Linked DNA regions of Caenorhabditis elegans. The protein of the gene in region 1 purifies or fractionates together with the protein of each later gene. This does not show direct contact. Each region holds a gene or a part of one and is shown in the gene's direction. Other genes may lie near its edges. The genes, in order: clec-64 and nop-1.

Evidence for each region.
Region 2: the proteins of clec-64 (region 1) and nop-1 fractionate together in Caenorhabditis elegans (co-fractionation; one large-scale study listed by BioGRID). This does not show direct contact.

What each region holds. Positions count from the first base shown.
Region 1 is NC_003280.10:12,892,071-12,907,392, forward strand, and holds clec-64 (VWFA domain-containing protein), read left to right. Parts: upstream 1-6,171; 5' UTR 6,172-6,219; coding exon 6,220-6,686; intron 6,687-7,458; coding exon 7,459-7,652; intron 7,653-7,713; coding exon 7,714-7,911; intron 7,912-7,971; coding exon 7,972-8,084; intron 8,085-8,146; coding exon 8,147-8,332; 3' UTR 8,333-8,369; downstream 8,370-15,322. Other genes in the region: clec-62 (VWFA domain-containing protein), read right to left, coding at 1,082-1,267, 1,314-1,426, 1,484-1,681, 1,741-2,036, 2,084-2,187, 2,715-2,828, 2,870-3,028; clec-63 (C-type LECtin), read left to right, coding at 3,570-4,117, 4,450-4,646, 4,695-5,005, 5,138-5,317; clec-65 (C-type lectin domain-containing protein), read left to right, coding at 9,262-9,292, 9,339-9,565, 9,623-9,726, 9,779-10,062, 10,268-10,465, 10,849-10,958, 11,012-11,083, 11,135-11,227; clec-66 (C-type lectin domain-containing protein), read left to right, coding at 12,349-12,448, 12,508-12,734, 12,809-13,005, 13,053-13,243, 13,955-14,155, 14,207-14,475.
Region 2 is NC_003281.10:5,957,199-5,973,709, forward strand, and holds nop-1 (Pseudocleavage protein nop-1), read left to right. Parts: upstream 1-1,523; 5' UTR 1,524-1,687; intron 1,688-2,108; 5' UTR 2,109-2,109; coding exon 2,110-2,145; intron 2,146-2,193; coding exon 2,194-2,253; intron 2,254-2,301; coding exon 2,302-2,658; intron 2,659-2,705; coding exon 2,706-3,047; intron 3,048-3,104; coding exon 3,105-3,278; intron 3,279-3,326; coding exon 3,327-3,837; intron 3,838-3,886; coding exon 3,887-4,017; intron 4,018-4,066; coding exon 4,067-4,154; intron 4,155-4,210; coding exon 4,211-4,396; intron 4,397-4,443; coding exon 4,444-4,838; 3' UTR 4,839-5,124; downstream 5,125-16,511. Other genes in the region: nono-1 (RRM domain-containing protein), read right to left, coding at 494-848, 902-1,017; Protein dct-6, read left to right, coding at 9,218-9,258, 9,397-9,485, 9,531-9,817, 9,867-9,964, 10,174-10,519, 10,915-11,417, 11,576-11,698, 11,775-11,798 and 6 more; mlp-1 (Cysteine-rich protein 1), read right to left, coding at 14,525-14,582, 15,699-15,778, 16,109-16,203, 16,350-16,464. UniProt on the Caenorhabditis elegans protein: Required for formation of the pseudocleavage furrow during the first cleavage of the embryo and also mediates aster-induced furrowing during cytokinesis.

The sequences.
Region 1 (15,322 bases):
GAGTATGAACAAATTCGTAAATGTTACTAATTTTTGAATATTTTTGAACCTGAATAATAAAGCCTGTTCAAATTGTAAAAATTTGTAGCTTTAAATGTTTTGCTTTTATTAAATCACTACATATGAGGTATTCAGGAACAGGTACAGTTCCCCTCACTTTTTTGCGCTCCATTGACAATCGCCCGCCGGACAACGCGTGGGAAAATCGTGTACTCCACACGGACAAATACATTTAGTTTTACAACTAAAACCGAGCCGCGACGCGACACGCAACGCGCCGTAAATCTACCCCAGATATGGCCGAGCCAAAATGGCCTAGTTCGGCCTAAATTCTACCATTTTAATTTATGAGGGAAGCCAGAACCCCGTGTCCCGTTTGAATTGCATATTTTCCCCCTTTTATTCAAACAGGTGAACTTTACTGCAAAACTTTCGATATTCCATTACACTATCATTTCATGATTTCCAACGCAACTGTTATGTTTATCATGAAACACACGCATCACTTTTATGGCTCTTCAACAAAATGTCTTACCTGTTTTATGATTACATAATACCGGAAGGAGAGAAAAACTGTGTCGCCGAGAGTCGTAAAAGTGTCGCAAATCCTGTTTGGGGCGTTAGTCATATTGTGGTCATAGAATACATAGGGTAACTGCTGTTCTTTTTGTAAGAGCGGCCGACACCTCGCGGGTCCTAGTTTTGAAAATTTTGGAAATTTTCGTAACCGTGATTAACTGGAGCACTGTAACACTAAACAAAAACACGGATATCTGGCTTCCCTCGTACATTGAAATGGAAGAGTTTGCCGAACTAGGCCATTTTGGTTCGGCCATAATTGGGGTAGATTTACGGCGCGTTGCGTGTCGCGTCGCGGCTCGATTTTAGTTGTGGAGTACACGACTTTCCCACGCGTTGTCCGGCGGGCGATTGTCAATGGAGCGCGAAAAATGCAAAGGAGGAAGACCAGAGCCCCGTGAAAAAAAGTAAAAATATTTTGCTTTGAATTTCATTACAGTATACATTCAATTATAACCGATTTCAAATGGAATTATGTCTGTAACTTATGTAATTAATTCCATTATTCACAATATGTAGACGTATCACACGCGGCAACTTCACAAACATATCTCTCGGACACCGTATACTGGTTGACATTCTGCCATCCCACTCTGAAAGCACTGCTGGATTGCTGATTGAGGACGGCGGTGGTCGTAGATGATTGTGTAGGGAATCCTGGATTCCATAGGCTATCGTTAAGCTGGAACTGATACAGGGATAAGAACTTTGGCAGATTATGGGAAGGGACTTACCGGCACCAACGCGTGACCCACAGGTTGTTGCCACGCATATCCTCCATTCACATAGCTCAGTCCGATGTGATACACATAGGGCTCGGGGAATGAAGTGTCGTTGCGGACAAGTTATGAAAAAAAAACAATTGATGCACCTCGAACCTTTAAAAAAATCTAATTTAACTTACTGAAAACATAGTCATGCTTCTTCTGATCATACTCGGTGACCATGTACCCCGTCTGGATCATATTCTGACACGCAAACTTTGCTGGGGTCCAGCCAGCTGTCAGAGCCACCGGGCGCAGGCAAACTCCGAATTTTGAAGAATGAGGGTCCTCGAATGTTTCTCGGTATTGAGTCCAAAGGTTTGAGCAGTAGCAGTTGGCTGAAAAAATTAGCTAACGATAACTTTTGGAAAAAAACTTTTGGAATTTTCAGTCTTACTCTGAATCATTGCAGTTTGAATTTCCTTAACCAGATTTTCATCTTCATTCGTAAAATTGAAACCCGGCGTCGCAATTTCTCCAATCAGCTTGATCATCTCTTCATCTCCAGTCTGATCAAAAGCGACAGTTGCGATGCTAACACCAGACGCCTTAAGCCGTTCAGCGATAGGCCTAGGATCCTCTTCACCTTCATCATTATAAGCGGATGCATAGACAATCACCATTTGCTTGTAGTTTTTGCGAGTGTTGTTCTTGCGACCAGCGGCCAGGAGTTGCTCAGCTGCTCCGATTCCTCTGGAAATCATGGGACTTGGAATGGTTTAAAGGTATGAAAAACTCACTTCGCTAGGAAAACATCTTCTGAAGTGCTCAGGTCATTCGGAAGAATTTGAAATACCGTGCTGAAAAGATCATCTGGCGACTGGAAGCGATTTAGATCGGCTTGCTGAAAACACTTGGTTAAAACTTAAGTTAGGTTCTGTTATGATGCTACAGACTTGCTCCATTTAAGTCCGAGCTCACACTATTGCACGTGATGTCAGGCTGTCCCATCACGGGTTGATCTTCAAAAAATGCGGGATGTTTTCCCAGGAAAATGCGACGTCAGCAAGCTGTGAAATCAGTTCTAAAGTCTGCGTCTAAAGTCCCGCATTTATGGTAGATCAACCCGAAATGGTACACTCTGGCATCACGTGATGAGCGAGGAACGGTGCTCCATCGCACACCTCACGTGGTGTCAGAGTGTCTCATTTCGGCTCGATCTACATAGATCTACAAAAAAAGCGGGAGAAGAGACGCATAGTTTTCAACTGATATCGCATGGTTAAGAACTTGCTGACGTCACTTTTTTTGGGCAAAAAATTCCCGCATTTTTTGTAGATCAAAACGTAATGGGACAGCCTGACATCACGTGCTGGTATAGGCAGGCAAAGGCCCCCAAGCCCAGGTAACATTTGCGATTCCCGCTCTTACAATTGTTGCCTCAGTGTTGTAGGTAACCAATCCAACTCGGGTTGTCCTTTTATCGATATAATTCGTCCCAATCCTCGTGCCAGCGCCAAACACTGTCACAATTTGGGCAGCCACCTGATAACAATTTCGTAATTGATTTCAGAGAGAAAACAAACCTCTGTAAGCCCCTCTTGTGTCATCGGAGCCGAGTTGTCGACTACAACGACTACGTCCAACCAGAGATTCGCCAGGTCATGACCGCAGTTTCTATCCGTGGGAGGCACCTGGCCGTAGGTGACGGAGAGCAGAAAAAGTAGAAGAAGCCCAATAAGCATCTGAAGATGAACTTTACTTAATTGATGTCACAAACAAAAATCAATTAAAAAACTACTTTGAAAATGAATGACAAATTCAGTAATGATAAGAAGCCCGCAAACGTCATTTACTAACATAAGATTGTTATAATTAATCAAAAGGTGCTGGTGACATTTTGGTAGACGATAAGTTGCGCTAAAGGCCAAATCTAATTAAAGTTCAAGTTCAAATTATAAACAAACATTCTAAAAATTTTCAGTTAAGTCGATTAGTTGGGTGGGGTTGTTTAAACTTTTCAACACGAAATTTCAATTAACAACACCCATCAGTCCTTCCTGCTATCTTTAATTCTAAAAAATTTAATAGCCATCGGTTTTGAAATGTATGCTGCACCTCCTGGTGATAAGGTGTTATCAGTGATGGGGGAGCATACGAAAATTGTCTTAAAATACGCCCCCTCCCAAGCAGTTCTCATCATTTTCTCATCGTTAGTTGGCTTCTTTTCAAGTTTTTAAACAAATTCAATTTAATATTATTATTAGTATTATTATGTTTTCAGCCATGTTCAAACTGGTGAGCTTGGCACTGACCCTTGTGGCTCTTGCCTCCGCACAAGATAGCACTACATCATGGCAAACAGGAGCAACACAAGGACCAACACCATCAACACCACCACCAACTCCAGGGGGCTCAAATGTCGACCGTGAATGCGGTGGAGACTTGACCAACCTTTGGCTTGATGTTGTCGTCGTCGTCGACAACTCCAAGGGTATGACCAATGAAGGAATCACCGAAATCGCCGCCAACATCGTCACCGTCTTCGGAAACGGAACCAGAATCGGAAACCAGTACTCCGACCCAAGATCCACCAGACTCGGACTTGTCACCTATAACGGAAGATCCACTATCGTCGCTGACTTGAACCTCCTTCAATCGATCGACGACCTCTACCAATCGGTTTTCTCTACTCTCAACCAGGTCAGCAACTCCGACGACTCTTTCCTGGCTAAAGGAATCGGTGCCGCAGAGAATGTGCTCCAATCCGGAAGAACCAATGGAGTTCGATCGAACTACAAGAGACTCGTCGTTGTCTACGCTTCAGCTTACAAGTAAGAACTTACGTAGAATACTTTCTTTCTTGTCTGTTAAAATTCATCTATTTCGTCTTGAGAGGGTTTTGATGCGATTACTAGAACTTTGAACAAATACGCATGGTCGAATCGGATTATAAATTAACCTATGCTCTTACCTTACTAAGCTTAGGCTTACAGCTTAGGTTAAATTTAAGCTTACATCAATTCCAACCAAAACGTCGTACTTCTGTTGGATCCTTCAACTCTGCGGAAACTTCGGTAAAGGGAGCATTTAGGAATTTCTGAAGATCAGACAAAAATAGAGAGCACCCAAATATTTAAAGTAATTACACACTCCTACGTTTCAGGGGAGAAGGCGAGCTCGACCCCATTCCAGTCGCCGATCGTCTCAAGTCCTCCGGAGTCGTTGTCTCCACCGTTGCCTTCGACCAGGACGGAGATGAGGCTCTTCTCGCCGGACTCACCAACATCGCCTCGCCAAACTACGCTTTCACCTCCAAGGACTTGAACTTGGTTGGAGAACTTCAAGGAGCTGCTCTTCAAAGTAAGATCCTTAGTTGTTCTACCAATACATAAAATTTCAAAATTACAGCCAACTGCTTCTGCCCGAACTTGTGGACCCAATACAAGTCGAACTTCGACGACGAGAACTCTTACAAATACGGAGTGTGCATCCGCCCCGCCACCATCTCCTCATCCTGGACCGCTGCCAAGTTCGCGTGCCAGAACCTCGCCAAGAACGGATTCCTCGCCGCCGAGTACGACGGACAGAAGCACAACTTCCTCTTCAGAGTCGCCCAGAACAACACCGCCTTCCAAGCTCCATACATCTATCACATCGGATTGAGTTATGTGAACGGAGGATGGAATTGGCAGCAACCAGCTGGATACCCACTCAAGCCAGTAAGTTTTGCCGTTGTCACGTAATGATGTAAGATGATGATAGTCGTATTGAACCTTGAAAAAGATCAAATCACTAGAAGTGATAACGAAAAATTGAACATTGTTCGGATGATAAGCCTAATCAATTTTCAGATGAGCGGCTACTCCAAATGGAACCCATCCTATCCAAAGTCCTTCACCAGCAACATCGGAGTCGTTGAGCAGCAATTCAGCTCGGATCTCACTGTTGGATGGCAGAACATCAACGCATACAGTGTTGCTGAGTACTACATGTGCGAAGTCGCTTCCTGTGATACCGACAAGTATTGTTAATTTAGCTACACTAATTTTTTTTGTAAGGTTCCTGTTGCGGTATAAAGGCTTTAATGATGAATTTTTTTTTTAATTTGCTTTCACATTAAAATAATTTGTCGAATGGAAAAAATCAAGAAATATAATACTGTTTAAATAATTTCTGAAGTGTAGTAAAACTTATATTGTAGATTCATCCCCTCACAGTTGTGTTGTCCGCAAATCAAACTACAAAATACAAAGAAGACAGACTGAAAGTTGTGTTCAAGTTTCAATAGTTTACCGAACTAGGCCATTTTGGCTCGGACATATCTGGGGTAGATTTACGGCGCGTCGCGGCTCGGTTTTAGTTGTAAAGCTGAATGCATTTGTCCGTGTAGAGTACACGACTATCCCACCCGTTGTCCGGCTTGTCAATGGAGCGAGAAAAATGTAATGAGGAAGGCCAGAACCCCGTTAAAAAATCAACATTTTCTCAAAAATATAAATGTTAAAAGCTCTTAACCTTTCACTTTCACCTACCCAAAACTAAAATTAATTACAAATTCGATTGCATCGAAAATCACTAAATTTCGTTATCATTGAGCAAATAATGTGTGCACACCCGTGTGGAAATGCTAATCCCTCGAAAAAAAAAACTCATAAAAGATTATTTTCAGAATATCATCATTTCCTTACTTTTCCACATTCAAGTTTACTTTTTTCCATATTGTTCAGGCAGGTAGGCATGTTTTGGTTTCTCATGAAAAACAGGCACGCACACATGCCTATTTATCTGCCTGCATGCCTGCTTTTTGTCAATTTTCTGTTGTTTGGCGTTTTTTTGAAAATTGGTTTTCAAACTTACTGCAATTATTTTGAATGCATTTTTACAGTTTTTCGGTATATGAAGCTGAAGCTATGAAGCTCCAAAATTTCCAGCAATGTTACTAAACCTACTTGCCATTTTCACTGCTTTTGCAACAACCCAAGCTTCAACTGATCGCAACTGTGGAAGTAACTGGAATAACCTTTGGCTAGACATCGTTATAGTCGTGGATAACTCGAAAGGCATGACAAACGAAGGAATCACAGAAGTTGCAGCCAATATTGCGACCACATTTGCAAGTGGCCCAAGAATTGGAACGGACTATTCTGATCCAAGATCTACCAGGCTTAGCATACTCACTTATAATAGTGAGGCTACAGTTGTCGCTGACTTGAATCAGTTTCAGTCGGCCGATGACGTCTATCAGACGCTTTTCTCGTTTCTCAATGAGGTCAGTGACTCTGATGATTCGTTCCTGGCGAAAGGGCTTGGGATGGCTGAGAGTGTTCTTTACAATGGAAGGATGAATGGAGTTAGAGAGAATTATAATCGATTGGTTGTGGTTTATGCTTCAGCTTACAGGTAGAAGCTTAGATTTGTTTTTTGAAAGTTAAACTAAAATTAGTTTATATACAATTTCTTGCCAATATTTGGAAAAGAAAAACTCATAAACGTTTCAAACGGTATGTAGTTTGAATCAGGGTTTGCAGTTCGGCAAATCGGCAACTTGCCGGTTTGCCGGAACTTTTCCATTCCGGCAATCTGCATGTTTTCAAATTGCCGGAAAATATATCATTATCATTTTCAGCAAATTTTTTTGTTCACAAATTCGATAAATTGGCAAATTGCCGGAAGTTTGCCGGAAATGTTTAGAGCGATTTTTTTTAAGATGAAAACACATAAAACTCTGCCTTTTTGAAATTTTACCCCGTTTTCTTAATATATTTTTATAGAATTTGCATTCTACTCAAAATAGATGTAGAAACATTCATAGGATACGTACATTTTTGCCGATTAAAATTGAAATTCTGAAATTTCCAAAAAAAAAATGTGCAAGACCACAATTTGCCCGAAATTTTTATTCCGGAAATTTGCCGATTTGCCGGAAATTCGCTGATTTGCCGGAAATATTTATTCCGGAAATTTGCCGATTTGCCGGAAATTTGCTGATTTGCGATTTTCCGGAAATTTGCTGAAAATTTGCCGATTTGCCGGAAATTTTTATTCCGGTAAATTTGCCGATTCGCAGGAAATTTTCATTCCGAAAGTTTGCCGGTTTGACAAAAATTCCAACTCCGGCAATTTGATCCGATTTGCCGGAAAAGTCGTTTGCCGAAAAAAAAAGTTTTTCCAGAGAAGATGGAGAAGACCCCCTAAACATTGCAAAACGTCTGAGATCATCTGGAGTAGCGATCGCAACCGTCGCTTTTGACCCAGATGGAGATGGGCTCCTACTGAGCAAGCTCTCAAAAATCGCATCACCAAATATGTCATTCAAGTCTAGAGATCCCAATTTGGTCGGCAAAATTCAGGCAGCCGCTCTTCAGAGTACGTTTTCTCTTTCTTAGTGGTGGAATTTTACAAAAAATTTAAAATGGTTTGATTTCAGCAAACTGTTTCTGTCCAAGAACTTGGATTCAATACAGGCCAAGCTATGACGACGAGAAGTCTTATAAATTTGGAATTTGCATCCGAGCCGAAACTATAACTGCATCATGGGCAAGTGCAAAGATCGCTTGCCAGAATAGCATTAAATATGGTTACCTTGTAACCGAGTTTGATGATCGGAAGCATGATTTTTTGTTCAGTGAGTCATTCATACAAGTTTTCCAGTGCCAAAGACTTTGCACAATATTTAGAATTCCAGGAATAGCTCTGAACAATGCTGAATTCACTGAACCTTACGCTTATCACACCGGGTTGAGCTATGTCAACGGAGCATGGAGATGGCAGCAGCCAGAAGGACACCCACTCATTTTGGTATAACAGCTTTAGCTTTATTTTTCCTCTCTGTCTGGCAACTCAATATACTGTAATTCCAGCAAAATGGAAGTTACTCGCATTGGAATCCAACATATCCGAACACCCCATTCACCAACACCGTTGTCGTTAATCATCAGCATAACTCGAATCTAGACGTCGGATGGCAAAACATCAATGGATACCGAGAAAATGAGAATTATATGTGTGAAGTTGCATCATGTGATACTGATAAATATTGTGATTGAATTTATTGTACATATATGTATGTATTTTGAATTAGTTTGCTTATCGAAGTTTACCAATTTTCAGAAAATCGTACTTAGGTAGTATAGAGTATCGAAATCTGAGACTTTGCTGTTTTGGAGCCAAAATTACCCAAAAAACCGAATTTCGTATTGAAACGTTTTGAAAATTTCTTTTAAAAAAGTTATGGCGGTTCAAAGTTCTAGAAAAAAGGATTATTTTCAGCTAAAATAACATTGTTTGGAACTTAATTTTTGATTCAATTGTCACTCTTTAATAGATATTGTGGTCTTTTACTAGGAGTTTATTCGTTGATTTAAGTCCTTTTTCGGCCAGTGGGGCACAAACAAAAATTACATTTTTGTGTCTCACAGACCTTGAATGTACTCAAATCAACGAATAAACTCCTAATAAAAGAACATAATATTTATTAAACAGTTTAAATTAAATATGCTGTGACACCGAGAAGTTGACAAAAATTTTGATTTTACAATTAGCTAAAAAACTAGCCTTTTTTTCATAATTTTGAACCTCCATAACTTTTTTTTTCGAGGAATTTTCGAAACGTCTCATTACGAAATTCGGTAGTTTTGGGTCATTTTGGGTCTAAAAAAACAAAGTCTCAAATTTCGGTACTCCACCTTTAATGGTGTTCGGGACCTCAATATGTGCCTATTTTGTATAAAATCCCACTAATGTTTCGTAAAACAATATCCGAATCAATGCCGACACAGAAATATTTTTCTTCATAACTATAGGGAATATACATAACAGTTAATTTGAAGACACATGCCTTTTAATTTATCAGAAAGTCGAACCACACAATGATGTCAAACTAATACTCATTATCAAATGTCAATAATGAGACTGATTGCATTGCAAAAAAGTTTAAAAGACGATCGAAACTGCTTCTTCATTTTTCAGCAGCGCCATGTGGAAAGTGCTTGTGTTGCTCTGTCTGGGTAAGATTTTCTAAGGACTGTTTTTTACGGGTCAATATACTTTCAGCAGCATCGCCAACTCTATCCGTCAGTGACAGACGATGCGGCACGAACGCCAACAAACTTTGGCTGGATGTGGTATTTGTCATTGACAACTGCAAAATAGGAAGTATGAACCTTGTCTATCAGACGATTTCCAGTCTGTTCAGCAAGCAACTGCAAATTGGAACTGGGTATGATGACCCGAGAAGTACCCGAGTCGGATTTATCACCTATAACTGGAATGCGACTGATGTGAGTTTCAAGTTATAGTTAATGTACGAGTGAGACACTAAAAATGAAATGTTTCAGGTCGCAGACTTCTACAAACTTCAATCTTGGGCCGACTTGAACAGTCAGATTCAGCGCCTCCAATACACTCCACAATCAAGCTCCCCAGCTAGCAGAATGGATACGTAAGTGGTGGCAGAGTTTTGGAATCTAAAAATCTAGGCCATCTGATTTCAGAGGTCTTAACGCCGCAATCGGAATGATTGATGCGACCGCGGGATTTCGTGACAATTACAAGAAAATTGTAATTGTATTTACATCGGTTCATGGATCTTATAAAAGCAATCAACCTCGTGATGTGTCGAAAATTCTTAAAAGCCGCGGGATCCCGGTGGTGACTGTGAATACTGGGTCAAGTTCCGATACTCAGGCGTATCTCAAGCAGATTGCCAGCGACAATATGAGCTTCGCAATTGCCGACGGAAATGTTACCCAAGAGATTTTGAAAGCAATGACGGATAGTAAGTTTGAAAGGTCCAGCTCACGTGGTGCCAAAGTGTCCCATTTTGGTTTGATCTTCGAGAAATGACAGACTTTTCAACTTATTTCGCATGGTTAAGAGTGTGCTGACGTCACATTTTTCTGGAAGGAAAAATTCCCGCATTTATCGTAGATCAAACCGCAACGAGGCAGCCTTACACCACGTAACTTTTCTCCGTTATTCAGCAAACTGCTTCTGCGAACAAGGTTGGGTCCAATACAATTATCCATGGAATAACCTTCAAAATCGCTACGGAACTTGCCTTTACACTGACACAACCGATTATTCCAGTAGAGATGGCGCAAAAAGCAAATGTCGACAATATAGTCCGAAGAGTTATTTGGTGAATGAGTTGGATCAACAGAAGCGGGATTTCAATTTCAGTGAATTTTCGTGACTTTTTTTTTGAAATAATACGGGAACACAAAATTCGGAGAATTCGTATTGCACAACATATTTGACGCGCAAAATATCTCGTAGCAAAAACTACAGTAATCCTTTAAATGAATACTGTAGCGCTTGTGTCGATTTACGCGATTCTGAATTTTCTGTAGTATTTCGTTTTTTCAAAATTATTTTTGGGTTTTTCAAAAAATATTTTTTCGATTAATGAATGATTTCCGATTACCGTAAATCGACACAAGCGCTACAGTAGTTCTTCTAAAGAATTACGGTAGTTTTCGCTACGAGATATTTTGCGCGTCAAATATGTTGCGCAATACACATTCTCAGAATTTCGTGTTCCCCTAATAAATATGAATTTAAGATTTGGTCAATTCCGACTCCACTAAACCGGTCAACGCATTTTACAATGGTCTATTAAATCTCAATGGTAACTGGTATTGGGATCAGCCAAACGATAGATCACCGATTCCGGTACTCACTTCTGTGTATTTTTTTTGCTTGAAAACTATAAACTATATTTCTAGCTCGACCCCAACTCTGGAGCTCCACCAACTCGCAACGCTTGTGTTGCTGATATGAAGTATTCAGATGGAACTGTAAGGCTAACTTTTTTAGAACAAGGGCTTGAGAAAGACTTGGATTTTCAGACCGCGTGGACTCCGGTGAGCTGTGCGAATAACTTCCGATTCATCTGTGAGCAGGTCGCTTGTGATACTGATAATTATTGTGATGGTGTTTGAAAAATTGTGGAGAAAATATAAAGTTATTATTAATCGCATTGCTTTTAAATTTCTGAATATTTAGCACATTGAAAATTAAATTATTAAGGACAATAAATATCATCGAGCCTATACCATTCATTTTTCTGAGATAATGTACTTATCAAAACCAAATAAACCGAGATATAACTTTTCAAAGAAATGTAGTCGTGCGAAATCAGGGGTGGGCGGCAATTGCCGTTCGGCAAATTGGCAACTTGCCTGCTTGCCGATTTGCCGGAAATTTTTAATTCCGGCAATTTGCCTGCTTGCCGATTTGCCGGAAATTTTTAATTCCGGCAATTTGCCTGCTTGCCGATTTGCCGGAAATTTTTAATACCGGTAAGTCGCCGAATTGCCGGTTTGCCGATTTGCCGGAAATTTTCATTTTCGGCAAATTGCCGAATTGCCGATTCGCCGGATATCAGATTTGCTGGAAATATTTAGAGGGATCTTTTTATAAGACAAAAGCATTTAAAACTGTGTCTTTTTGAAATTTAAAATAAAAAAAAATCAATTTTTCCGAAAATTTTCGGCTAATTGCCGTTTTTCCGGCAAATTCGGGAAAGCGGCAATTTGCCGGTTTGCCGCTTTGCCGGAAATTTTTAATTCCGGCAATTTGCCGATTTGCCGATTTGCCGGAAATTTTCTATTCTGGCAATTATAAAGCGATGTCAAAATTTGCCGATATTATTAAAAAATTAGAAAAAATACAAAGTTTTATTTCAAAAAAAATTAGATTGAATCCACTTTGGCAAAAAAAATTTTTTCTATAAATCCAGCAAAACACCTAAAAATGTAGGTGCTCGTAAATTAGTAGAACATTACTTTTCTTTTCTTTTTTTTGTAAAATAGGATATCTATCATACTTTCAAGTACATGAATTCAATTAAAATTTATATGTACTCCAGCAGGAGTACATATTAAAAAAAAAAGATTTTTGTGATCAAACTACCAGAGAACCGCTAATCAGTATTTTTAAATGACCTTTACGTTAAAACATCAATCTATACAGACACCCCGTCCAAAAGCGCAAAACCTTTTCGTTAGTGAGTAATAATCATCATGTTGCCTCCAATCGTCATTTGTTTCTCTTATCAGCAATGGAAATTGCGAATAAAAGAGCCTGGCGTGAATATATTTCGTATGAAATTATTCGTCTGCAAATGCATCAGATTCTAACATTATTTTTGCTGGCATTGGGTGGGTTTTTCAAAAAAAAAAATATGAAGAGAAAACATTTAATTTTCCAAGTTTTCCAGCCGCCTCACCATCCCAAGCAGTCACCGATCGATCATGCGGATCAGACTTGAGCCGTCTCTGGCTGGATATTGTATTCGTGGTGGACAACTCTAAAAATATGAACCTGTATAATGTATATAACACAATCTCAAACTTGTTCAATCCATTCGTGCAAATCGGAACTGGGTATGATGACCCGAGAAGTACCCGAGTCGGATTTATCACCTATAACTGGAATGCGACTGATGTGAGTTTAATAAAGTCACAGTTAATTTGCAAGGTGTTCAACAGGAGGAAAAGTACCGTAACTAGATATTTCAGGTAGCAGACTTCTACAAGTTGCAATCCTACTCCGATCTAAGCAGTCAAATTCAAGCGCTCAGTGTTACACCACTCTCCCGCGCCGATGAGACCTATATTGATACTGGACTTCAAGCGGCTATTAATATGATCAATGCTACAGGAGGACTTCGAGACAACTATAAAAAGGTTGTAGTACTATTCACCTCCAAGTATAAGTATGTTACCTAGAGTATCCTATCTAGTAGTCTATGTACTATTTCAGCTACTATCATACCTATCCAGAAGACTTGACGGATTACCTAAAGTCAACTGGAGTTACGATTATCACTGTAAACACTGGTGGGGATAGTTATACAACTCAGAGTCTTCGTGATAAAATTGCAAGCAAGGGAATGGCTTTTGCTATGTCTGATGGAAATACTACAGCGGAGTTGCAGAAGGCGGTTTTGGCAAGTGAGTTGATGTGTGATCGCAATGGAATTCGGCAAATCGGCAATTTGCCGGTTTGCCGATTTGCCGGAAATTTTCAATCCCGGCAAATTGCAGGTTCGCCGATTTGCCGGAAATTTTCAATCCCGGCAAATTGCAGGTTTGCCGATTTGCCGGAAATTTTCAATTCCGGCAAATTGTCGACTTGCCGTTTGCCGGCTATCAGATTTGCCGGAAATATTTAGAGGGATTTTGTATAAGACGAATGCACTTAAAACTGTGCAATTTTTCTCGTTTTTTCTACATATTTTCATAGAATATGCTTAATTTTCAAAATAGATTTAGGAACATTCAAAGGATGCGTTTAATTTTGCCATTTGAAATTGAAATTCTGAAACTTCCAAAACAAATAAGTACAAAACCACAATTTGCCGAAAATTTTAGGCAAATCGGAAATTTGCCGATTCGCCGATTTGCCGGAAATTTTATATTCCGGCAATTTGTCGATTTGCCGATTCGTTTGCCGCGCACCCCTGGTCAGAGTGTCTCGTTTCGGCGTGATCTACGTAGATCTACAAAAAATGCGGGGGAAGAGATGCAGCGAAGGGAGTTTTCAACTGATTTTGCATGGTTAAAAGCGTGTTGACGTCACATTTTTTGGGAAAAAAATTCCCGCATTTTTTGTAGATCAAACCGTAATGGGGCAGCCTAGTATCATACAAACTTTTTTTTCAGTCAACTGCTTCTGCCGTCCGGGATGGATGCAATATCACTACCCACTGAAATCCGATAACATTTACTCTAACTACGGTGTCTGCCTCTACCGTCCAGACAGTGCCATGACTAAATTCGCCGCTCAAAGCTATTGCCATTCCCTCACAACTAATGGATATCTTGTCAGCGAGCTTGACCAACAGAAGAGAGCGTTCAATTGGGGTAAACAATACGATGCTCTTATGCTTATTCTACAATTTTTCCAATTTTCAGACTACCTCAACTCGAAGGGAATCACAATCAACGCCTTCTACAACGGGCTCACCAACTACAACGGAACCTGGTGGTGGGATCAGCCGAGCGGCCAGCCACTGTGGCCATTGAACCCTAATTCAGGAGCACCTCCACAGCGATCCGGGTGTGTTGTAGACATGAAGTATTCTGATGGCTCGATTTCATGGACTCCGATCAGTTGCACAAGCTTTTTCCGGTTCCTATGCGAGTCCGTTGCATGTGATACGGATAATTATTGTGAATTTTGAGTACCAATGAATGAATTGTTCTTATGGATACTTGACAAAATAAAATGTAATACGGTACTCCCTAAATCTTATGTTATCTGTTGTTTTCAAATGTATGTAAATTTTTAACCACGACACTTTAGATAGCTTTTTTCTGAAAAATTGTACTGTCATAGTAGGCTCCGTGGGCTCCGATAATTGGTGTTTCAGAATGTTCCTGAAAGTTCGCCTAAATGAAAAAAAAAATTATTTCGCAGTAGGCACATCTAGGTGAACGTAGGCCTAGGTATAGCCTTCAAAAGGGGCTCCGTTTTGAATCAGTATTTTCTCTATTAGTGTTGCGTAGAATTATTCAACGTTGATAGCTCATATCTCAGTTGACATTTGTTCTTTTAAAAAATTGTAATCTGTCAAAATATTTTTTATTTCTTTTACTATTCATTGATATCTCCTAAAAATCCAATATATAACATTTTTTAGTAAATTAGTTTGGAACTTTTCAGAACATTTTACAAGTTAGGTATGTATGTACATTCGGTCACTACAATCCATTTTCTATGTATTATCTGAACTAGAATTTATACGGGCACTGCCGTACCTTTAAATTTGTACTAAACATATTGCAATTTTTTGCACCCCAGACATGCACTTCAAATAGAGAACACGTTTGTTTGTGTCTGCTCGCCGAGCACAAAGCAGAACGGCAATGTTTGCCGCCAATAAGCTACTAGTAAGAGCGTGTTGGCACATGCTTACACTCAGCCAATATTTATTTTTACTACTAACCGTGAAACTGGTTCATGTTCTATAGAGGGGTATATAAGAAAATGGAATTGTTGGGGAAGAATATCGACACTTTCAAGTCTTC
Region 2 (16,511 bases), on another chromosome or scaffold:
GAAAAAATAAAGTTATAGGACCTCCAGAACCTGCTGGTTGAAAGTAACAAAATTATTTCTTTCAACAGGAGACTATTTGAATTAAAGAGATGGATTTTCTACAATAATTGACGTAGATGCAAACTTCTGTGGACCGTAGAAATCTGAAAACGCGTTGCCGAGGTAAACCAAGCACAGAAAATATTTTTACAATTAGTTCACAAGTTTTGATATTTTTAAAAACACGAGTCCACAGGAAGAAGTTACGATTGAGATATACATTGGGTTGAGTTGCAATTTGAAGTTTAGAAACAGCGAGTAAATACACATAGAGATGGTGGAGTCCACTAATTTTGAGTTTACGAGAATGAGTCCTTCAGCATTTGATAGTATTTGAGTACCCAATGAGTCCGATTTAAATGTGTACTTTTGGCAACCTCGGCTTCGCGGCGATTAGTGAAAATAGATAGGAGAGGTGTAAATGCAACTTTAAAAAATATTTAAATAAACTAACCAGTCTTAAGAACGCAAATCCTTTTCCAGATAAATAGCACTCAGCAATATCTCCATGTGGAGAGAAAAGTTCTTTTAGCTCGGTTTCTTTAACTTCATTTGGCAAATTTCCGACGAAAAGCCGACATCTTCCAGTGAACTTCTTTTTTGGAACTTCATCCATCAGTTGGGACTCAGTGAACGCTGCTCCATTGAAAGAAGTTCCACCACCACCACTTCTTCCACCACCACCACCGCTTCTGTGTCCTCCATTGTTGTCGTACGGCTGTTGAGCCGGAGCAATTCCACGTTCGGCTCCACCGCGGTTGCCTCCACCTCCGCCACCACTGCGAGCTGCATTGTTGGAATTTCCACGCCTGAAAATATAAATTGTACAGAATACCAACTAAATATGTAAAGAAAAACTTACTTTTCATCTCCTCCGCGATTTTCCCTCCCTGGTTTGCGATCGTTTTCCGCTTTTGCAACTCTTGATGAATCATCACGACCATTTGAACGCCTGTTGTCTCTCCTTGCACCACTCATCTTTTAGAAGGTTTTTTGTTATTCTCCTTCTGCAAAATTAAAATAAATAGTTTATTAAAAGAAAGAGATTAGTGAAAAATGAACGGATCGATAGAAAAGGGTGCACACGCGGCTGAACGCAGCGCGGAGAGACGCGTCGCGTCTTCCATACTCTGTCTTTGAGTGGTTAGAGAAAGTAGAGAGGGCACAGAGAAAAAGGAGATACCGGAAAGAAAACGAACGCGTCGAATTAAAATAAAAAAAACATTCACAGAAGCTGAATGATTTAAACATTTATGACTGCAATCGGGTTTATTAATCGATGTTTTTTTTAATTAAAAACCCGGTCAAAATTGCAAAAATAAACTAGAAAACAACTATATTCAAGAAAATAAAAGCCGCAAAAAATTTGTACAAATTCGAATTAATTCATGATGAAAACTTTCAAGGCGCACAGAGTTCATCAAAGCAAGTGTCCTGCCACGACAAGAAAGTTAAAGGAAATTTAATTAATTCAGTCGACGGGTCTCGTTACGATTACCGTAGTAAAACTGTTTTTGTGTTTCGCAATTTTCTCACGTTTCTCACGTTATTGTGTTCCATCGCTTCTAGCAAAAACGGGCTCAAATTTTCGGAGTCGAAAATAGGCAACGACGTCGAACACGTTCGATTTACACGCTTTAGAAGAAGTGTAAGTTTTTAATTTTCAAAACAAGAGCCACTATCTGTGAGAGATTGCTAATTGTAAATTAAATTGTTGTTCCATCCAATAATTCAATCGTTTGCATATTCATAATTTTTTCTCGGCTTGTTCAAAATTAAAATTAGTTTAAAAAATACCTTTTAATCAAAAGATTCAAATAGTCTCGTCTTTGGAAAAGTGGTTGAATTTTCGAACCGAACCGAACTCTCGACCGAAAAAACAAACTTATTATCTTACTTACTAACTTGTTAGCAATACTCACAATACGTCGCTTGTTCTCATTCTTATGGCTGTGAGTAAGTGTGGACTAGCCATTGCGCTGGTTGGCCTAGCAGCTGCGGTATTGTCCCGCTTACCGCGTCATTCAAATAAAAAAGTGTTCTCCTTCAATTATCGACCCATTTTTCAGCATGTCGGCGCCGAAGAAACGAAAAAGCGACATTCACGTAAGTTTGAATTTAAATTATTTACAAATTAATTGATGTATTTTGCAGAGCGATGATCGTGATCATGCAGATCACCAAACGAAAAAGGAGAAACATTGGTTCGAGGAGGTATTTATTAATCCCTTTAGATGTATTATTAACTCGTTTTTTTTTCAGAAATCTGAACAGAATGGCGAGAACCGAAGATCTTCAATTTTCAAAGGATTTCTCAAGAAGGTGAAGAGCTCCACTACTTTGAAGAGCACCAACAAATCTGCCTCATCTTCAAAAATGGACACCATAGCGAATGAGACGCATCTTTCAATCACCAGTGAATCAAGCATCACTTCCGTGGAATCCTGTCACAGTGCACAGTTTCCTAACGTCGCGAAGAATGCGATGCTTCGTACTCTTGTCAATAGGGATTCATTCACACCTGTTCCACCTCCAGACGGTGAAAGTGTGACTTTCATATTGCCAGAGATAGGCTCATCGAAACTGGAATTCACTTCAAAGATGGATGATGCGATTTCGGTACGAGAAAAGCATAGCAAAATCCACTTCGCAAACATTTATTTCAGATTGAATCTCGAATGTCTATTGGATCTTGCCACACTATCGATGAAGACTCTGCTTCCATTGGATCCACCTCTGTTTTTTGTACTCCAAGTCGCAATCCATTGATGAGAAATGGATTACGTATGTCGACTAGAAGTGTTCCTGAAAACCAAGATGATATGCCTCCAGCACTATTCCGATCTCTTTGCAATAGCGCTGTTCGTCGAGTTCCCACTTCAAAATCTGAAGGTGGTGGTACTCCGATGCGGCGTTCCATGCGGATGTCCATTCAGAAACGGAACTTGTCTTCGAAAAACATGGAAGATGTACCAGAAGAAGAAGCATTGACGGTCTCTAATAGTTCGGTAAGAATAAAATTATATTGAAATTACATTATTTATTCGTTACCACTTTTTTTTCAGATTCGTGTTGATGCTCCAATTGCTGAAGAAGACGAAGAAGTGTTCGGGGCGGCTAAGGAATATTTTGACAACAATGTCACATCACACAATGATTCAGCAGATGAAGGGACATGCTCAATGTCACGACTTTCGACGACGTCCGAAAGAGCTTCTGGTGTTGGAGGATCTAGCATTGTGAGTTTTTTCTGATATCGAAGCGTCTTTGACGAGTGTAATGTATAGTTTCAGGGACGCCGGAGCTCAATTTTCCGAAAAATCTTCCCAGGAAAAAGTGAATCGAAGGATCGGAGAATGAGTGACAACAACCAAGCGTCGGAGCAGTATATGGACAAAAAATCAAGACGGGCATCTGTAGTCTCTTTCAACGAGTTCACATCTGTCAGCGGACTCTCTGTAAATGATTCTGCGAGCAAAAATCCGAAAGACTTGACGGAATCACCTCAGCAACCAAAGCTTCGAAAGAAAACGGCATCTTCTTCTAATCTGTCGCAACGTATTTCTTCAGTTTTCCGAATGGGCTCAAATTCGACAGTGAAATTGAATGAGTATGTTCCCAGTCCAATCGTTTCTCAATCGTCGCGTCGCAATACGCTCACTGGGAATTCGTCGATTTCATCTGGAGTCGGAAGTATAGCCAGTGGAACATCAGATCAAGGATACGGGACGATTGGGTCTAGATCCGGTCAAAGCATATCAAGATGTGGATCGAGGCGTGATGATGAAGGCAAAAAAGGTAATCCCAAATGATTCAAATATCCTGTTTATAGAAAATGTATTTCCAGAACGCACTCGACGCCTTCTGGACCGTATTATCATTTCCGATGTTCCAGCAGGAGAGCTTCTGAAATTAAAAATTGAACAAGTCAAAAAGCAGAAGCAGTTGGAAATGGATGAGTTGTTTGAAACTCAACTCGTAAGTTGTATCCGAGTTGTATGAATAAATTCAATACAATTTTTTCCAGACTGAATCGTCGTCCTCCGACACTTCTCAAAGCGAGAATTTGCAGTTTGATGTCGTGGCTGTTGATATCAAGGCAGATGGATCTCCATGTAAGCCAACATTTTATTGCATAACGATCCTCATATTCTAATTTGACATATTTCAGTTTCCACTACTGCTGCCACATTCATGGACAGTGAACTTTCGAAAAGGGTGAAAGAGGAGATCGTGTCAAATTATCGACCTGATCGCTGCGGATCAATCACCGAATACGAACCGGAGCTCGTGTTTGTGATGCCTGAGCAGCCACAAGCGAGCTTGAAAAGTCTTAATGACTCGGTTTCCTCTAATGGTAAATATTCTCAATTGAATGTTGATTTCAATTTTTTTGAATTTCAGCTGACATCAACCTTGATCACCTTCGGAATGTTAGAAGTGGCTTGTGCAAGTCGATTGAAGAATGGAAAAGGATCACAAAAATGCGAGAATCATCTACAATGCTCATTTATCCAATGTTCTGCCAATCAGAAGAGGAATGGGATTCAAAAGGAACCATCGACGCAATATTCCTGATGCTCGATGGAATATTAATGAATACAAAACGATGGATGCCGAACGGAAAATGTATTCTCGCTGGGGTGACTCCAAATAATGTCATCCTTCTACGCAACAAGTTCGATGAACTCAAACTGTCGGTTGCAATCTCCGAATCTGATGGGCCGGCAAGTTCAAACGATGATTTCGACACTCAATCCACAGCGAGCACTTCAACTGTGTTTGGAGCTAAAATTTGAGCTGTGAAATGTGTGTCTTGTTGTTAAATGTATTATCGATCTCGTCAATTTTCAAAATTTCTTTCAATTCATGTTACCTTTCTCTTTCCTCCTCAAAACGGTTGATATATTTTTTTGTGTTTTCATAGCAAGTTTTATTATCTAAAAATTAAGCTCTACACCTTTTCATCCTTGCATTTTTCTCTTCACTTTTTGAGGATTACTGTGAATAGAATGCCCCTGATGTTTCTATCCTCTTTCCCTCGATTTGTTCGTATTTTTTTGTAATAAAGTGTGTGAAGGCTTACTATTTTTTTTTGAGGAATTTTTGATTTTCATGAAACGTCCTTCATTTTTGGAGTTTTGCAAAAACGAGGTGAATGAATTGATTTTTTCAATTAAAAAAAAAGAAAATATTTCATCTCTCAACTTTTCCATCCGATATTCCAATTCGGATGGACCGGTTAGTTGTTGCTCAATGGTTGATCAATCGATCATTTGAGATAACTCTGCGTCTCTTAATCTTCTATACTATTTTATTATCTTTGTCTCAATTGATAAAAAGAGAAACAAGTGTCTAATGAGAGAAAGAAATATTTTTGTGTCCATCGGCTCTTCTTTTCTCATCCACTTCAATTCGATGTTTGTCCACCTGTTGTGAGTGTACCACGTGGAAGTCCGAATTCCACGAATTTAATTTTATCAACGGAATATTTGAATTTCAAAAATGTGAGCACACGAAAAAAGTGCAGAAGATAAATTGAAAAAGAGATAGGTAATCTGATATCATAAGTTTCATCTCTTCTCACTTATTTCCTTTGCATTTATCACTTCAAGTTCATTTTATCACCCTTCTCTCTTATTATTTGTTTTCTTTATCCTGGTTTAACCGAGATTTGTTTTATGGGATTCTCGCTGATTATGAAGAAAATTACGGGTTTTTTTGCGCCAAAAATACGGTGACGCGATAGATTTTAGTTGAATACAAAAATGCGCAGATCTTTAAATAAAAATAAAAAATTTTTTATCAAAAAAGTATGTCAAATTGAAGCAAATTTCGCAATAACAGAAGTTTGAAGTTACAGTACTCTTTAAATTTAAGTTTAAAGGGTACTGTAACTTCAAACTTCTGTTATTGCGGACTTTGCATCAAATTCACGCAGTTTTTTGGTAAAAATATAATTAAAACTCAAATATAAGAATAACAAGTTTTAACTTTAACAAATCAAGAGAAAAATTTTTTATCAAAGAAAATTCCGCAGCAACGAAAGTTTTTAATGACAGTAATCTTTAATGGCGCGCACATTTTTTGTTAAATACGAAAATTCTCTTATTTAACAAAAACGTGTCATGTCGAGATCGGGTACCGTACTTTTGGCACAAAATTCCGCGTCTTAGTATATCTTTGGGCTTTTTCAATATGTTCTCTGCGTACTTAGTTTTAGTTTTCACTGATTCCTCAGACAACCACGTTGGGGGTCTAATTAGAAAAGAAGCACTTCTGATTAGAAAATAGGTATTTCTAATAATAAAATCCCTGATCCTCATTAAACCCATCAATCAATTCAAACTACACAAATAATATGAAAGATGCAAATTATGTAAATGTCAATCTAATTCATTTCATTCCACGAACACATACAAATACACTCCAGTTGTTTTATGTGTAATCTTTTCGGGAATGAGATTCTCCATCTGGCGGAAGCTTATAAAAACGAATCCTTTCAATTTCACCTTTTGTATACAAAAAACTGACTGACTATGAGAGAAAGAATAGAAAGCGGGCGAATCTAAAGGACCCCATTTAAAATAAATGACCCCATGTAAAATTGTATGAAAGCTCATTCCTTTGATATTCAGTCATTTTATTGTTAGCACTAAAGGTGATTTTAAACCGTTTCCCCCACTGGCGCTACTCCAGCACCTTTAAGCCTTCCACGCAACTATTTGTCTTTTAATATCTTTCACGACAAAGTAGACTATCATCACGGCAATTTAGACATACCTTGTAGGCACGCAGGCAGGCAGAGGACGCCTACCACATATCTTAATGCATTTGGTCACACTTTCATAGTGAACAATTTTGAGAGGTTTTGTTCAAACTACAGTAACCCTGCAATTTAAAGGCACATATGTCTTTGTGGTATGACCGATGATCTTTGCCATCAATTGACATCTTCATCTTCTGTACCTTTAAAATCCCATTTCTTCTGACCATCCCATCAATCAGTCACCGACAAATACGGTCATGCCTATCCTTAGTGATTCTGATTCTATTCTCCGATAACCCTGGTCATAAATCCCCACTAAACTTTCTCAAAACCTTCCGTCCATTCCCCTTCACCCTCTATCTATCTCTATTTTTTTTGTTGCGACCTGATAGTCACTGTGATAACCAACAGTTCTCGCTCTCTTTCACCCCTCTCAACCTCTCACCGATCTCAAAAAAATTGTCAATTACATTGCAAATATGACTGCCTAGAAACTCTTCAAGAGTGCACACTATTTTCAACTGCTTCTCCATAATTTTTGCATCTCTTCTCGACACCCATCGTCTGCATCGAAAATCAATTGTGAACACGTCCATACACACGTGTCTGCGGGTCTCTGATCCTACTACTCTCTCCTCCCGTGCTTCGTGTTCTTCTTCCCGCCGGGAGCTCAAAAACGCCGCCGCCGCCGCTGTTCCTCTAACTCTCTTGCATCGACGGGTGCTTTTCGTTGTTTCTTATTGTTCTTGCTCATTACGTGTTTTGCCCCTCTTCTTCAATCGTTCCAAAGCCTAGACTCTCTCTTCTCTTTGTTCATCTCATTTTTTATTTTTGTTGCTGTTCCCGCAGTCTGTTATTGTTTCCAATATCTAGTGAAACTTGGCAGGCCAACCACAATAACATATTAATCTAAACTGAGTACTGTAGTTTCAGACTTTTAGCATTGTCTTGAAATTTCTTTAGTTTGGAGGAGTTTTGAACATTTAACTAGACTAGGCGTGGTGAGCAGGTACGTCTTCAAGCCTACGCTCCTGCCTACCGCCTATTTTCTGTTTTGAGTGTTAATATGTGTAAACTTACCTCCGTTTTAATTTTTGGAAATTGAAACAAAGCTATATTCAGATGTACTCCAGTAGGCAGGCCTAACGGCAGGAGGCTGATAGAAATTTGTTGTGTGTGTATTAAAAATAACCCGCCGCGAGCCACTTTCAAACTTATCTGTGTGATGTTCCCAATATATTGAAAAAATATCAATTTAAACTATTTCGAATATTGCGTTTGATTTGAAACAACTGGATAAAACAATCTCAAATTAAACATCTAATACCATGAATGAAAAATAATTCCTTTTGAACTAGTACATACACATTACTACACTCTATTATTTGTACAGCTTAACCATCAGGTATTGCTCGCTATCAAACAAACATTTGTTCGATTTTCGGAAATGGTTTACACATTCTTCTTCCAAATGGTTAACCTTGTAGAAGTACTTTGACAGAATTTTAATCTTTTCAATAGATCTTTCCAATTGAATTCTTTTTTGAAGATAACATCAACAATCAATTAGTTAGTTATGTCTTCATTATTGTAAACTTTATGTTGTTTGTCATATTTTGAACACATTTTGCAAAGTAGCCACGTTACTTAAAAATATTTGCAGCTCCTGAGTACTTCCAATTACATACCTCATCAATTGAGGCGCTCATTAAAACTTTTTGAAATCAATTTAAAAAAAAATTTCTCCTGAAAAACACCCTCGTAAAATCTTTCTGTACTGACAGATTTAAAAATTAAAATAATTATTTAAAAAAAAATTGAATTTGAGCAGTAGGGGAACGCTTTCATTAGGGTCAAGACATGTGCATGTAAGTTTGGGCCTACGTGTAGTGATTTTTTAAAAGAAACTTTTGCTATTGGAACTTGCAAGTTTGTTAAATTTGCCGCTACTTTTTTATGACTATTTAGTTGTTTGCCTATTAGAATATAAAAGTTGTTTAACTAAAAAAAACGGTAAACACTTATTCACACCAATTGATAAAACGAATGGGAGTGATATGTTGTCAGTGATAAGAATAGAATGTGTTCAGAGAGAGAAATGGTTGTACATTCAAACCTTCTTCACTTTTTGTTTCAGTTCTTCAAGTTTCCAAGTTTTCCCCATCGAAATTAGTCAGAAGCCAGACGATACACTTTTTGCATTCCTCACTGTATAAGTGTGTTATGTCCGTAACTGTTCCGATCACTCATCGTAATTCTTTTCGACACCATGTCTCTGGCGTATTATGTTGTAGTATTTAATATCCCACCGATTCTCTTATTCTCTTCGTTCATCAGAAACTAATTGCGTTGCTATTACTTTTCTCAAAACTTTATTACTAAAATCTAATATCTGCCATGATTCAGGGTATGATTGAATCTACAACTTCGCATCAAGATTTTCAACAACGGTGAGTTTATTAATTGAAAATAGTTTAACTAATTGAATATTTGAAATCTGATTCCAAGAATTACACAACCTACTTTAAAATAGAAATTTGTGATATGTCCTAGGATTTATTTCAATATAAGGTTAAATAATTGTACAGATCCATGACTGGGTATGCCCTGGAGCATCCATCGTACAGGATTAGAGGCGCACTTTTTAGGCATCAAGATGATGGGAGGCTTCTGTCAGGTACATTGAATTTCTATTAAAATCCAAATTTACCAAATAATCTAGGTTGCGGCGGAGACATTGAAGTAATTCATGCACTAGAACTGGAACGATCACAACATACATGTCTCCCTGTCAGAGTTACAAATGTCGTGGTGTTCGGATCAAATGACGTCGTCCGACTAATTCAACCAATTGAAGGAACCGAAGATGTCATTGTCAATGGAGACTACCACGTGTCAATTGTGCAATCTGTTGAATTATTCGAGAGTTCGACGGTTTCCAAGAGCAGAATTCTGAAACTACCTGGAAAGATTATTGCTGTAAATGCAGAGAAGCATTCAAACACTGAGGTTAGAAATAAGGGAATAAACAGTAAAAATGAGAAAGAAATATTTTCAGCTTCTTCTAGTATTTCTTCTAGAGACCGGCATCTTCCATTATTCATTTTGTGCTCATACATCAACACACTTTCAATGTATTCAAGCTTTCCGATGCAAGTGAGTTCTTAGAATTTTAAAAATTGTAAAGAGTATCTTTCGATCCTACAGTAACCTAGCGGCAACCGAATTTCTAAGCACTAACCTGATATCGAATTAATCTCATGCAATCTATGTACTATCCCTGAGATATCAGGGGCTTGTTGAAAATTTAATCTCACACATATCCAGGGACCAAGATTAATCTATTCAAATGCTAATTTTTTCAGTCGCCCAATTACCAGTGGACTTCTCTGGAGGGACTCGGGACTTCTCCACGTGGCATATTACGATGGTTTTGTACGGGTTGGAGTGGTTCATGAGCAGTACGATGATATGCTTCTAGTGAAGAGAGTCGCAGTGAATCGAAACAATTTAAGCGTTCTTTTGGATGTTGTTTTTGAAGAAATTGGAAGAATTCAAAAATTCGAGGATACTGAAAAACAACGGAGAGAAGATATGCTTACTACTTCAAAGAGTTTGTCTGATAAGTTAGTGGCAGAGGAAGAAGTTGTCGAAGGAGACACTACGAACGACGATTTTGCCAAATTGAAGATTGAGTTCAAGAATCAATCTGTAGGTTTTTAATTAATACTAAAATATTTATGAAACAATCCCAACTTTGCTTACAATCACTTTCTTGTTTTCAATCTCGAAAAATTGCAACACCATTTTTCGAACGGGTGACGTCATACTAATTTCGAAGTATGCAAAATGCGTGACGTCATGCTTCACAAAAAGAAGTTGCGATGTGTTGGAACAACGAACTACAAACCAAAAAATGAGGGAAAATGTCCCGTTCCCGTGAAAATTTGAAAAACGGGACAACGGGAATTCCCGTTCCCGTGAAAATTTGAAAAACGGGACAACGGGAATTCCCGTTCCCGGGAAATTTTTAAAAACGGGAAAACGGGAAAAACGGGAAACGGGAATTGACACCCTTGATTACAAATCACAAAGCATAATTTCAGATTCGCTGTGAACGGGTCTCACAACGTTTGACTTCTCTCCGAAAACTGATCACAATAATAAAATCCGCACTTGACATGAATGATCAAATTGAGCAAATGATTAGTCTTCTGGTGGATGAGCTGAGTGAGCTTGAGAAACTTGAACAGTTGTGCAAAGAAGTTGAAAGAACTGGAAATCAGAATCTTATTGGGAAAAGCTGGATTGCTGTGGAAGAGAAACAAATGGTAGTGGAAGAACTTATTGCAAAAGTGAATAGTGATCAAATCAAGAAACATTCGGATGTATGGGAACAGAAAATTGATCAGATAATCGATCAATTAAATGGTTGCTCAGAAGCAGCAAAGGATATGAGATTGATTATTAGTCAGAATATATTTGAGCATCGAGGTGACAAAAAGGATGTATTCACTCATTTTGTGTTGGATGCGCAGAGCCGAGATATCACTTTATATTGTCTTTCGGGTCTTACAACGATGGCCATTTATCCACGCAAGGGGAAACGGTAAGACTTTCAAATTATTTTGGAAAGTATCAAAGTGTGAAAAATTAATTAAAATTGCCACAATAAAAATAAAATAAATTCCGAAAACTATTTTTAAACTATACATAATGTAATTTTTTTTTTTCAAAGTTTACTCTAAAATTTTCCATAATTTTCAGAGTGGCCTCCATTTCTTTGGATGCATCATTTGCCACGTGTCTCACTGCGGCCTGTGCAATGAAATCCGCTGAAGGTGTCTACGTAGCAGATCAGAATAATGTTTTCCCGACGTATTTCTACAGGTAAAACTTGTTTCAGCAATTATAAAAACTAATTTTCTGCGCGCAAAATGAAAAAAACCCCAATTTAAAATTACAGAAACCGCCCAAAAGCTGGAAAAGGGTAGGAACGTACTATACTTGAACTAAACTTTTATCGCCAACTTTTCCCTCCACCCACTTCTATCATTCAGTTTACCTCCCATAAGCATGATTTTCCAGTATTTATTTTGTTTTATAATAAGTTTTCAAAGTTTCAAACAAACGCCAAAACATATCTTTTTAATTTTCATGATTTCCCAAACAATAATTTAACGCCTTATTTTCGAGCAACTAATATTATAGTTATATTTTTCAGAGAAAAGAGGTACTTGGATGCTGGAAATCAACTTCAACTTCCCACTTTCGACAGTATTTCTTCGATTCTCGTTGAACCACATCAAATGGTGAGCAATTTTTTGAGACTTGATTCCAAACTTTTTTACTGAAAACTTGGAATCTGGCAGCCTAGATCTCCATGATTGTGGTCTTATGGGAAAATTATCAATTCATAGCATAATTGTTGTCTAGTTTTGATAATTTTGAAATCTTGATACTGAAACATTTCTGAATACTTTTAAGTGAACCGAGAAGCTGACAAATGTGGCAACTTCCTAAAATTAGAAATACCAATTCCCATGAATGTTTTTCTCAGATTTTGGGAAGTGTAACTGGAGGTCTTCTACATTTATCATTTGATTTTGCATCAAATTATGAACATTTTGTTGTGGCAAGCAGTATTTTGGCTCATCCTATTTCGTCAGGATCCGTAAATTGTATCAAATTATTGGCAACTGGGGAATCCCTTCTAGCACTTCATTGCACTGACACAGAAATTGTTGTTTCGGAAAAAGATCAAGAGAGATGGCACAGAGTTACACACCATACAGGTGGTGCACATGCAATTGCAGTTACTCCATTTTCAGTTGATGAGAGAGGTGCATTTGCAGTTGTTGCAAGTGATACTTTTGTTCGATTGAAGGTTTTGCAGTATGCTGAAGGTTCGTTTTAAAGTTGATTTTTCATAGTTGATTTTTATTAAACTTTCCTTTTTTCTCATTAGAAGAAGCATATAAAAATTTGAAATCAACCATAAAACCGTTTAAACTTCAAAATCTACTAACAATAATTTTAAAAGTAAAAAGTAATCTTGTCGTTATTTTTGTTTTAAATAGCTGTTATTAATACTATGTTTAAATGTACTATGTATTATATCTGAAAAACCCTTTTCCATTTTATAAACGATCAAGTTGTACTTTTGATTCCAGAAAGCCTTATCGGTCTTCACGATCTTGGCGAATCACGAGCTGAAGATGAGAATGGACATCCGATAGAAGTACTAAATGTGTCTCTGGATCCAAGTATGCAGTACCGTCAACTTCCATGTAAACTTCGTTATGCTGTTGGATTTGCTGATAAGGCTATTCGAACATACGTGGCACTCCTCACTGGACAACACGATTTTAATGTTCAGGAGAAGTTCATCGCTCAAATTGAGCCTCTTTTTAATGTTCAAAATGTGGGTAATTCTTTTGAATTTTTGAGACATTTAGTCTTGATAATTAGGCAATTTTATTGTCAATTTTCAGATGATCTGCTTTCACGGTCGACCAATGGGATGCTATGTAAGTTGTGCTAAAACTCTTCAAATCTGGAATGATCTTGATCGTCATCAACAAAAGAAACTAAAAAGTGAAAGAATGCAATTATTGAAACTATCATCTTCGGTAACCTCAATGGAAAGAGCTGAAGGATATCTACTTCTTGGATTTGCTGATGATCGTCTTTCAATTTATGAAGAAAAAGGAAATGGAGCTGTTGATTTAGTGGGGACTGTTGATGATTGGCACAAGGGATTGAATGATAGAATTGTTATGAGTGAGAATTTAATGTAGAAATAAAATAAGAAAAAGTAATGTTCAGGTCTACGAACAAGAGCATCAAAGACTTCATGTGGCACAAGATTATTTATTCATTCATTGACAGCTCATCACATTGTTATTCATACAGTTCTTGTCACAGCCTCTAAAATTGAACAGGTTGGTTACTATTTTTAGAGAAATTATATTAATATCTATTTTGCAGTAAATACAAAATTCATGGTTAAAAAATATTTTTAAAACTTACGATTTGGAAGAAACGTTTTCATGCTAACTGATTTTATTTTATACGAAATTCATTTGAATATGTGTGTGTGTTTTCAAATTAAAAAAAAATTTCAGCACGACTTCATAGTTGCTCACGAACACTCAATGAGCCAGCCAATCGGATTCGAGTTTGTCTCATACAAGTATTTTGAATTTTTAGTTTACGGTCGTGGAATTTCCAACGAAAAACTTTCAATTGAAGATCGTAAGAGAATGGATAATTTCAGAGATTTTGAATTTAATTGAAAATTTAATTTAATTTCGCTCAATTACACAATTTCAGTTTTTAGCTTTTTTGGTTAATTTTTGCATTTTGCATCGGGTCATTGTGTGGGATCACAAACGTGTATTTAAGAAAATTCTAATCGCATTTTGAGTTCAGTTGTGATAATTTTCAGTGCCTTTTTTTAATTTTTTATTTGTTTTGTTTTTCTGAAATAAAATTATTATTTTTTGAAATTTTAACAATTTGAAGCTTAACAATATTTATTAGTAGGAACGAAAGTACCAGGGGTATTCAATTATTTGAAAATGTCATTATTAGAGTAATAATAATAATAATAATAGTAATAATTGAGAAATGTCCAATTAAAAAGTTGAAAATTTTAGCAATTGAGGAATATTATAGAAAATTGAATAAAAATTGAAAAGTGAAAGAGAAAGTTCAGCTATGGGAAGGATTGATTGGTGCGGTGAATGCCTCGGCTGTCATAGGACGATTGCTGAAATTTTGGAATTTTAATTTTAAATATTATCAGGAAATATGAAAATAAAACATTGTTACGGTATTAAAAACCTGAAAAGTTAGGTAATAATAAAAGTAAAACTTTGAGCGTTGATCATGATCATTTTAGTCGGTGTTTGTACAGTACTCAATACATCATATTTGTCGCCCAAAGTGATTTAAAGATCCTTTGAAATACCGTATTCTTGTTAATATTTTTCTTATTTCAAGACAAAAATGTTAGGATTGATGCAACGCCGGGTTAGTTGTTCGTTAGGTGAACGTATGTGAAAAATATGAAAGTTCCACAAACAAAAGTAAAAATATAAGGGTTTCTCACATTTAATTGTGTTGTTTTGAAAAAAAATGGGTTTCGGGTCCTTCCACGATCAAGACTTTTTAGCTACCGTAGCCGCGAGTAGTGTAGATTTTTATTATTTTATTTCACAATCTTACACCGATATTAACTATATTTTTCGTACTTCAGGTTTTTTTTGGAGAGTTTTAATATACCTAGTTTATATATTGGAAATAAAAAACTATTCAAAACCTAAAAAAGAGCATTTTGCGAGATATTCGCACCTATCGTAGTTGAAAAGTTTCGCTCGTGCCAGGACCCGAGGTCATGGTTGCCATTATTAAAGTATAGTGTCGATAAATTAATTTTAGTTAATTTTTCTAAAAGTTAGTAACTGCAAAACCAATAACACCACAACTATCCGACACCTTATCCCCTGACGAGTTTTTGAGATTGATAACAATGTTTTTCTTTCGATTACGTCTGTTTGGATCCACCGAACTTTTCTCCGGAATCAGTTGTCAAGCATCCAGCACCAAGTCCAAATCCGACTCCCTTTGGTCCGAATTTGCGTCCGTGGCACTGTTTGCAGTAGAGTTCTGCCTCATGCGGAGCAACAGTGCACGAGTCGAGAAGCTTGTTGCACATGTCTGTGAGAGAAAGAGGGATTCATTGAGTAAGAGAGATTTAGAGAAAAAGAAATAGAAATGGCTCTGTGATTGAAGAAATGGTTAGTACATTGAGCAGGGAATTTGCGGAGGAATTAACGTTATTAAAACACATAAACATGTTTTAAAACATGAAACATTGACTAACGTCATATCAACTTCAGTATTTCCAAATTGTTCTCCAGTATCCATTGTCAATGATCCGGCGCCGATTCCGAAACCGATTCCCTGTAATTATAATTGAATTTAGCCAGCTTTATGCTATTTTTTCTTTTTTTCATAAAATCTTCCGAAAATTGCAAAAAATGTATTTCAAAATTTCGAGACTTGCCAAATCTCTATTCTAACTAATATGTTTGAAATGTTGAGCAACGTTTAATTTAAATCTCGAAAAGTCTTGTGGCTCTTCGATTTTCTCCAATTAACATTTTAATTGTGATGTAAAATGCGTTAATATAACACGACATCTGAGTTCATTTCAAAGTGTAAAAAAATATGCGGTAGGCAGGCCTAGGCCTAACTATTTTAGCTTTAATTTCCAATTAATAAATTGCATACCTTTGGCCCATATCGCCTGCAATGACACTGCTTACAGAAGAGTTGTGCTTGATGTTCACAGCATGACATTGAATCCAATAATTTGTTACACATACCTGAATAGGACAAAAACACATTAAAAGACAAGACGAATACAAGGACGAGTTAACATGAAGCATTTGGGGGGAATAGGGAATCACAGAACCATTATTTCTTATTCACTAAGAGATTCTATTAAATTATTAAATTCTTTAAAACTCACTGCACTTGAAGCAGAACTTGTGCCATTTGTATCCGCCGGCGGACATCTCCTCTGCGGCGTACACACTTTTGCCGCACTTCGGGCATTTTGGGTGCTCCACAGGCTTGAATGGCATTCTGGAATTAATTTATCTTAAAGTTGGGAAACATCAAAGGTGAAAAC